Drosophila melanogaster: one gene and its partner. The protein of the gene in region 1 interacts with the protein of each later gene in a biochemical or structural test. Each region holds a gene or a part of one and is shown in the gene's direction. Other genes may lie near its edges. The genes, in order: svp and Gug.

Region 1 (5,175 bases):
ATGGGGCAGAAAAAAGGCAAACGAGCGAAATTCCGATACAGTTAATGATATGGCAGTGGAGCCGAGAGAGATGGAGCTCTTGGTCAGAGTGAGATTGCTATATACTGGCTAAGGGGGCGTGGCCTGCGAAAGAGCAAGAAAAACTTGACGAAACTCTAGCTACTGAGTGAAACCGAGTCCAATTGGAGGTGGCTCTCTCTCTCTCTTATTCGAGTGCAAACGCAAACTCGGGGTGGCGTATCGTTCATCATCCAATTGTACGTTTGCACTTCGCTCTGGCCTTCCCATGGCCTTCCCAACCCCCTTGATAACCACCGACAGAGGGCGCCAGACTCCGTGGCCCGTTACGCCCTGCGCCCACCCACTCCACTCATACATTTCGTTGGCAAGAGGTGGGCGGGGAAGTGCAAAGTGCGGTGGCCACAATTTGGCCCTTTGGACTGGCCTGCAACTCTTGGCTTTGCAGCCAGCGACACTTTTCCAATATTTTCCATTTCCCCAACCACCCGTTTTGAATGAAAAACGAAGTGGCAACAGTGTTGCGTGGCATCCAGCGATTGCCTTTAAGTTTTCACTCTCCAGAAGTTAGTTGCGTGCAAATGGGCGGTAGTTAAATGCTAATTTCAAATAAAAAACCAAGAAGTAACAGTCGCCAAATGGACATATCAGGTTGCGCGAGGTGTCCTCGTTAAGAATGAATTCAATTATCGTTATGATTTCATGTTTTGGCACTTCCCCAACCACATTTCCACCAGACACGTAAACAAAGTCAACAAAGTACAAGTCGAGGAGCCCAGGGACTGCAGTGCACTGATCCAATTAGCCAAGGGAAATTATTATAATTATATTACGACAGTCAGTGGGCTTCACTTGGCCACGACGGCTGCTAAACTTTCATTTAGGGGCAGTCCCCGGGTATATTGAGCGTTAATAATACGATGCGTTTTCGTTGCGCGACATTGGGGTCAGTATCGAGTGCCACTGCTCTTCACATTTTATGAATCGGTATCTGGAAGCAATGCAAATTTTATAAATATTCTCTGCAACACGTGCTTCTTGACAGACATTTTAATGACAACTTTTCAATAGCTGAGTATATCCCATTTATTTAATCACATAAAATTCATATAAAAGCAAGTCTGTTAGCTATTTATTGATTGCTTAGAGCAATAAAGGGCCGCTTTAAATATTGGCTTATTTATTGTTGAATAGCAATGCGATAAAAACTAATAAAGCAACTGGATCTATAATGAGTTATATATATAAATTTTATTATATAATTTTAAAAATGGCAACGGTTTTTCTTTTGGTTTTTTACAATCATATACCTTTTTCATATTGTAATCTATTCGCATCACATACAATCCTGCCACCTATCATCGCACTACCTTCATGAGTAGCAGAGATAAGCTCGATGTTCTTTGGTTGACAACCAATAGAAAAGAAGCTTTAAAGCAAACATTTAACCGCGAACGGGCATTATGGCCGCCAAACTCTTCCTCCAGATAAGAAATCGGACTTTAAGCGCCACTGAAATTGGTGAAATACAAAGTAGAACGCACTTTAAGGCGGTTGGCCAACCAGAGCAGAAACATTCGAGTAGCCAACAAAAAGATAAACAGCGCCGAAAAACTTTTTTCGGGGTGGAGACTCATTTTAAACAAATTGGCAAAAAGTTGAGACCCCCGAAACCGAAAAGTCCGGCGATAAAGAGCCTTAACGGTAAAAGTATCTAACAGATGCGCCCAACAGCGAGCTAATAAGAGCAAACGGGTTCTAGTTGGATTGGATGAGTGAGTGAGTGTGCTTCGTTGAGTGAGAGAGCAGCCACTCTGTTTCAGTTCAGTGGTGGTGGTGGTGGGTATACTGGGTGCACTGGTGGTGGTGGTTCAGTGGTGGTGGCAAACCAGCCAAACGCGTCGAAGGTCTTGCCCCACCAACGCGAGCGAGCGAGAGCGGCGATTTCACTCAACTAGAAGGCAATGCCAGCTAAACGAGAGTGAGCAGACCAGCACCACTGCCCGTTTGAGTTGAGTATGGGGAGCGGAGAGAGATTTGTGTGATGTGTCGTTAGGTCGAAACGGTCGAGTCGAGTCGGGTCGGGTCGTGTACCTTTTGCCACGAATGTTGTGCCAGTCAGGCTCTAAAAGGCCTTACGAGAACAGCTGAGATTTCGCTGCTCCGCATGACGCAAAGATACCGAAATTGAAAAATTTTCAAGTCTTTAAGATATTATATCTCGTGTGTGCGCCGAGCGGGAAATTAATAAGCAACATCGAAAAAATTCAAAAATTCAAAAATAAACCAAGTGTTTTATTAGTGAAGCCAGCTGAAATGTTAACAGCATATGCAGCTTAAAAGAAAATATTAAATTTATTTTAACATAAAGAAGAAGAATTATAACGCGGCTGACAAATACGAATAAAAGGATACAAGTTAAAAGCTAGAGCCGAGGACTCTATCGAAACCAAAGTGTGAACCGTACCAAGTGCGTACAAAGTGTATTCCAGCAATTATCCCACGTGTTCCGACCCGGCCGCCAAAATTATTACGCACAATTCGCTGAGCGTGTACGGCGGCGGCGTCATGTGCGCCTCCCCGTCCACGGCTCCCGGCTTCTTCAATCCGCGCCCGCAATCCGGCGCGGAGCTGTCGGCCTTCGACATCGGCCTGTCCCGCTCGATGGGGCTGGGCGTCCCGCCACACAGCGCCTGGCACGAACCGCCGGCCTCCCTCGGCGGTCACCTGCACGCCGCCTCCGCCGGACCGGGCACCACCACCGGCAGCGTGGCGACGGGCGGCGGCGGTACCACTCCGAGCAGCGTGGCCAGCCAGCAGTCGGCGGTGATCAAGCAGGATCTCTCTTGCCCCAGCCTCAATCAGGCGGGATCCGGCCATCATCCTGGCATCAAGGAGGATCTGTCCAGCAGCCTGCCCAGCGCCAATGGTGGATCCGCCGGTGGCCATCACTCCGGTTCCGGATCGGGTTCCGGTTCGGGCGTCAATCCCGGACACGGCTCCGACATGCTGCCCCTGATCAAGGGCCATGGCCAGGACATGCTCACCAGCATCAAGGGACAGCCCACGGGCTGTGGCAGCACCACGCCCAGCTCCCAGGCGAATAGCTCCCACTCGCAGAGCAGCAACAGTGGATCCCAGATCGACAGCAAGCAGAACATCGAGTGCGTCGTCTGCGGCGACAAGAGTTCCGGCAAGCACTACGGACAATTTACCTGCGAAGGTGAGTACACTGCGAGAAATTATATTCAAATAGGGGGGGAAACAGTTAGAGTGAATGTGTGAGCTAGGGATGTTACCACTCCACCAGTACATTAATTGTGCTTATGCCATACATGTCAATGTATCTATTTGGTGCCATCTTGAGGACCATCACATCTTGGCAATTTTTATTGCTGAGTAGCGATCTCACCTCCAAGGTGCAATTGGGGGTCAATTGATTTCGTACTCGGATTCGAACTGGGGATGACCAAACAGAAATGGCCAACGTAATAGAAAGCGAGCACAAAAGCGTGCCTGCCAGCCGCTGATTTTTGACAGTTTCGGTGAGTTATGGCAGTTTGATGAGTTGGCAATAAACCCTCGGCCAGGTGTGGGTGTGTGGCGGAATGGTAGAGCAGTGGGAATTCTTCCCAGGGCCATGCAAAAGTTGACGGGATGCAGCTGGAATGTATATCTGTGGGCCAGGGCAGTCAATAAACCTACGTGGAGCCCAAAAGCTAGTTAGTTGATCGGGGGCCCCAAATCATGTAAAAATGTTTTTACGAGCAAAAAATACATTTATGATCTAAAATATAGTTTGGTTTGACCCCAGCGAGATTTATGTTTGCGCATAAGCTTACTGTCTTTTGCTGATATATTATTGTGTCTAATTAAATTTTACAGCTGCAATTGCCCCTAAAGTGGTGATAAAGTATCTAAAAAAAAATCCCTGTTCTGGCAGATGATTTTCCAGATACTCAGATACTTTTGCATCTCCGGCCATCATTCCGTTACACTAGAGCTCGCAGCACGAGAGCTCTTGAATATAGCCATATATATATATATATACATATATTGCGATCTGGGCACCCACTGCCTCTCGGCCTTATCGTCAGATAAAAATTATTATCTAAATAAAATACGGTCCGTGCTTTGTCCTAAGCCAAACAATTGTTGTGCAAACATGCAAATTGTGCGGCGGCCGCTAAATGAAGCGCCCACCTTCTTATTGTCTCTCTCACTGGGTTTCTGGATAAGGGGAGCCTCACCTGGAGTTCCGGAAAAGAGGGGTGGCAGATGGGCAATGGAAGGCGGGAGGCGGGGCAGATGGGTAACTGCATTCAGAGATAGAGGGAGATCTGGCATACGCTCTGGCATTTAGTGCAGCTTGAAGTTGAACTTGTCATGCTCGTATCTCTTCAAATGTTCTGGCACTGGAGCACACAGGCAAAGCCACTGCCACAGCCACAGCTAAGAGCCAAGAAGTGACTATGACTGGGCAGAGGCACAGTGGGCCATTGGTATGATGATACCAGAGATTCCCAGATACTTGGCACTCCGTTGGCTCCCACTGTTCGTTCGCGGGCGCTGCTATTATTATTAATCACCGAGCATTTTGTACGCATGCGCAACCCACAAGAGCAACAATCAGAAGATATGCGGCTCTGTGACCGCCTCGTTGCATTCTGAAGGTGTTTCCCCGGATCCCTTCATGTGGCATAGTATGTAGTTGCCTGTTGGCCTGATGATGTTGCCACGATAGCAATCTATTTTGTTCTATGCAATCGCCCAGACTGCAGAGCTGTAGCTTTAGCTTCACTCAAATGCTGGCGAAATAAAACGTAGGAATAATCATAATAAAGCGCATAGAGCCCATATCATTGCCGGCGTTTTCAGGGTTTTTTTTTTATGTTTGCTACTCTGGTGCCTGGTCGCGTCCTTTCAGCTGATTCACTTCGAGGTGCAGATACTTTTCGTGGCTCTTAGAAAAGAAAGATACTCCACTCCACACCACTCCGTTGCGCGGCAACTCGTTTCGGCTGTCTGAGCTCTAAACTCGTGTGTGTCCGTGTGTGTGTGTGCTCACTTGTCCGTCTGTCTGGAGGTCCCTTCTGTCCGTATGTCTATCCGTATGTCCAGTTTCCAGGTTTCAGGGCACACGGCTAGCTATAGGTA
Region 2 (4,817 bases), on another chromosome or scaffold:
CCATACGCTGCTTGCTGGCCACAATTCATTAACTTCTGTCAGGAGATCATAAATTAAAATTAATCTAAGACAATTTAAGCAGGCTGCAACAGGCTGATAAAAACTCGGGTCGAGCGCCGTTTGAAAAGCGATAAGCGAAACCCATTGAAGTCACGCGAATGGCGACAAAGTCGGCGAAATGGTAAAAATGGAAAATGGAAAACCATCGATTGCGGTGGCCAACAAAAGTGGGCGGTAGGTGGTCGAAATTGGCTTAGCTATGGCCATGAACAAATATTATTTTTAATATTGCGACAGAAAAGCAGGAAGAAGAGGTCAAAGAACAACAATTGGCGGAAATCGAATGTGTGAAGTGAACGGGAAGGAAATGGCCAAAACACTCGTGCACACATACACTTACTCTTACGCTTACTCACTCAAAGTTACACTTTTAATGTATCACATATATAATCAGACTTATTTCCCCCACTTTTTTTCAGTGCATTCCCAGCTGCATGTTGGTTTCTGCGCTAAGAAGTGCAGCTGTCCTGATTTGCAGAAAAGGTCAGCAAACAACAAGCGATTCCCTCGAGTGGCCTGACTTGCCTAAATTTAGCTCACTCTTTTCATTCTTTCTGTTCCAATTAAACCGAATTAATCGCCAAAATCCACGCGCAATTACCCCCACTTACCCTTTTTTTACCATCAACCAAAGAATCTACACCCCCCACCGCCGCCTTTTCCTAATGATATTTTAACGCACTTGAGCTGGTTTCTATGCAAATATTGGGCGCTACTTAATGGCCAAACAAATGAGTTGGGCAAATAACATCGGGAATCGGAGTTACTAATTTTTACCTTGATGCTCCACATTTTCAATGGACTCGTCGCACATTTTGAGGATCCGTAGATTCGCAGCTCTTGATTTGTTTTGGTTTTTTTTTGGTGGTAGTGTTAAATGCCAGCGATTTTGCGAACCCTCAGAATTTAAACAGACGACGCGCTTCTTTAGAATTTCCCGATTTTCGCAGCGAGGTGATTTAAATCAGAATCCAAAAACGACGAAAAACAAAATAAACAATAGTGGTGGTGCGTCGGTAGATTTCTTGTGGCTATCGATGTTAGGCGCAGAGTCGATAGTCGCTTCTGCCGAAATGGCGCTTTTGTTCACTGTTCTAACAGAAATGTTAATTTACAATAGGGATATTTTACAATCAGTTGGATTTTTAAAAATTAAATATAAGTTTGTGGAATCGAATTTTTCGCCTATTAGGACGAAAATTAAGCAATTTATTTTTAAAGTAAGCCCACAATATGCTGCGACAAACTGTTAATATAGATCGACTGTTAACCAATTAAACTCCAACTTTCATCGTATTAAATTTCATAGAAAATCTGAAACACAGCTGTTAGCCATATATTAATGTTTAAATATATATCATTTATTTTTTTAACATATGCTTTAGAAGTTTTTAAGTCTTGTTTAAACAAATAAATTACCATTTCAAAAGACAAACTTACGAGTGCTCACCAACGAAAGCTGTTGGCTACACAACAATTGCTGGCTTATTTAGCACATGACCACCAGCAATGCTGCCACTCTGCCACCGCCAGCCTTGCCAGACCCCGCAAAGTATATATTTTTACAAAATGGTGGCTTCTTCGCGGAGAAATTCGTAGTGGCGATTTTTAACAAAAAGCACGCATCTTGGCCAGCCAATTATTGTAATTTGCTGGCGAAAACATTCGCAACCACGCTGGCTGCGCCGTGTGGCTGAAAATTCCGCGAAAAAGCAACCGAAAATCGCACAAGAACCCAGTGAAAATAACTGAAAGCGAAGGCAGGCAATAAAAAAAACGCAAGCAAGCAACCAAAGTGCGTGCCTGTGTGTGTGTGTGTTCGAGTGTACGTCTGTGTGCGCTGCTCTCTGTCTGTGCCTGTGTGTGCGAGTGTGCCTCTCTGTCAGTGTGTGTGTGCGCAAAGTGTATGCAAAAAAAGAAGAAGAGAAACGAAGAAGAGCATTAAAAAAAAGCGTACGACGAGTTTCACGCGCGCCCAACAACAAAAACACCAGAAAGCAGCAACAGCAACAACAACAAAATCCAACAACACTTGGCAGCAGCGGCAGCAATAAAAAAAAAAGCAACAACAAGCAAGCAGCGAAACGTAAGGAAAAATCTACAACAAGTGTGCGAAAATTAATTATTACTAAGTGTGTCACTAATTTAATTTGGAATCGCAGTTGCGCAGCGTGCAAATCATTCAAATTTATGTGAAGTCTTTCGGGCAGCAAAAAACAAAAAACAAAAAAATAACGAAAAACAGTAAAACAGAGAAAACAGTGGCGTATCCCCCCCCCCCCCCCCGCAGTTTTTGAAAGGGTGACCGACGGATGGGTGGGTGTTTGAATCCAGTCTATTATGAACTTTTTGGGGTAGAACAATGCAAACACGAACGAAGGCTCAACAAATTTGCTGAAAAGGAATCGCAAGCGCAGCAGCAGCAACAACAAAGCAAAAATCCAAGCGTCAGCAGCACGGGCAGCAACTAAAACAACAAAAACAGGCCAAGCAACAACAGCAGCAACCCACCACCGTTGTTGCCCCTTTGTTATTGTTGTTGTTGTTGTTGTTATCGTCGGCGTCACCACCGACGCGACGCAACGCGACGCTCTTGCGGCCAGCGCACCCACCACCCCCCAAGGATGCTCCTGCCTCGGACTAACCCCATTCCTGTAAAGCCCCCCCCCCCCCACACCGCCCTTCCCTGTTCCTGTGACCGCTCCTGCTGGCCGTGCTTCTTCTTCTTCTTCTTCCACTCAGTCAATTGCTGTTGCTGACGTTGTCGGAAAAATGTGTCTTGTTGCCTTTTTGCTGGCTGATAAATAAGCTAAAATATGTACTTACCCACTATTAATGCTAGAGAAGTGTTTGGAATTGTATTTATTGGCAATAGATTATAAAAAATATCGCTATAACTGGCGTTATTCCCCGTACTAATAGTACTATTGATATGGACTACTACGACTTACTTAGATATGTCATCTTGGTACTAAAGATTTTCTGATAGCTATTGTTATTCAATATTATACAGTCCAAATAGATAGATAGATTGATTATTATTATTACAGATGTTTTGAACATAGGTCTGCCTGGTTTACATTGTTTATAAAATTTAATAAGGAAAGGATCAAAGAATATGGGTCACATTATTATGTAATTAAAAGTTCTCAACTCAAAACCAGGTACATAGGATTTCAACTATGCTATGCAAATAGCTAACGTATAAAATTGCCAAGTTCTATGGCCTCATTTGGCGACTGCTTTTGGTAGTAGTATCGCTAGTGGGGCATTGTTTTTTCGCAGGGCGCTCCTTGCGCCCCAGCTGCTCAATTCTTCTGTTTGGTTCTTTCATTTTCTTTTTCTTTCGCTTAATCATCTCCATCGTCTCGGCTCTCACCTACGTCATCTCTTCGCCTTCCAGCTGTGTTTGTGCAAATTAACCGAAATATACATTTCCGGCTACTCGCTGCCTCCTCGCTGAGCAACAACTACAAAAACAACAACACCAATAACAACAGCAGGAACAACAATATCAAGAACAACAGGAGCAAAGCAACAAGAACCACCACGACCGCCGCCCACCCCCTTTGAAAATCCATCGACACAGCACCACATCACCATCGTCGTCATCATCATCATCATCCTCAGCAACTTGGAGTCTGGAATCTGGAGACGGAGACCGTAGACCGGAGTTACTTTGCCGCCTGCTGCTGGAGAGAGGAGCATCTTCGTGCGGGACGCCTCGACGATACACAACCCCGACTACGGATTCATGGTGAGCCAAGACATCTGTTCGAGCCCGGCGCACACATTTAATTATAATTATTTGTTTGCTTAATTCGATACTTCACGCTGGCCCCCGTCTCATGTGTCACATCCCCTCGATGGGGTTGCTTGTTCATTGTGCCGAAGGGTTTCCACTCGGCTAATGGAGGAAACTATTTTCCAATGGTATCCCAAAGCAATTAGAAAACCGGGGGGCGCGTGCCCCTAATCCGTTGCTTTGCTATTGTCGCTCATATTCGGATTTGTGGTGTTCATTTTGTGGGCTGGTGGTATTTAGGGGGAATTGCGATTAGATCGATGATAAGGCTTACACATACCCTAAACCCACTGAAACAGATCTTTATCGCCGCACTTGTATACTGCTAATGAGTTGCCTTGTAGGCCAATTAGTACACCCTTGTTCGGAATGAAAAAAAAAAGGGTTGACCGGGATCAGACAGTTTAGAAACTCTTTAGCGCATTGTTGGAAAATATTCCACTTGTTAATAACTATATGAATCTATCAAAACTAGTTTTGGTTGTCCTCTATATGTTTATCAATTTAAATAAAGATAATATTGATTAGCTGCCATTTTGTATTTATAGTGTCATCGTTTTATGGCCACATCTAGTTAAATAGATTAATTTGTATTGTAGCTATTGTAGGTCACTTGTTATACAAGCAATATGGTGCAGGATTAAATCAGAGCTAATGAGGGATTACCAGGTCATATGATACGCAATTTTACGCATTGTTCATGGGGGATTTACGGATCTCTTTATCTCTTCCAATGAAGTGCCATGGTTTAACTTGCTTTTAGCCAAGTGAAATTCGAGGCAGTTAGTTCTTGGAAAACGGAGATTGATTTCAAGGAAATTCCCAGACAATTTGCACCGCTTGCCGCCTTGCTTATCTTCGAAACCCACACCCTGCCCATTTCCACATTTCCATTTGCCCGGCACGCCCGCTTATCTGCACCCACCAACCCAAAATCCACGAAGAGTGCGGC

The links.
Region 2: the proteins of svp (region 1) and Gug form a complex in vitro, tested with the Drosophila melanogaster proteins (one study listed by BioGRID).

The regions. Positions count from the first base shown.
Region 1 is NT_033777.3:12,279,009-12,284,183, forward strand, and holds the start of svp (seven up), read left to right. Parts: upstream 1-2,101; 5' UTR 2,102-2,586; coding exon 2,587-3,241; intron 3,242-5,175. UniProt on the Drosophila melanogaster protein: Receptor that is required in photoreceptors R1, R3, R4 and R6 during eye development; generation of the ganglion mother cell-2 (GMC-2) fate in the nb7-3 lineage, coinciding with the transition in the expression of HB to KR in the neuroblasts (NBs).
Region 2 is NT_037436.4:8,448,312-8,453,128, forward strand, and holds the start of Gug (grunge), read left to right. Parts: upstream 1-1,610; 5' UTR 1,611-2,146; intron 2,147-2,336; exon of another isoform or gene 2,337-2,376; intron 2,377-3,463; 5' UTR 3,464-3,817; intron 3,818-4,817. Other genes in the region: CG6983 (uncharacterized protein), read right to left, coding at 838-874.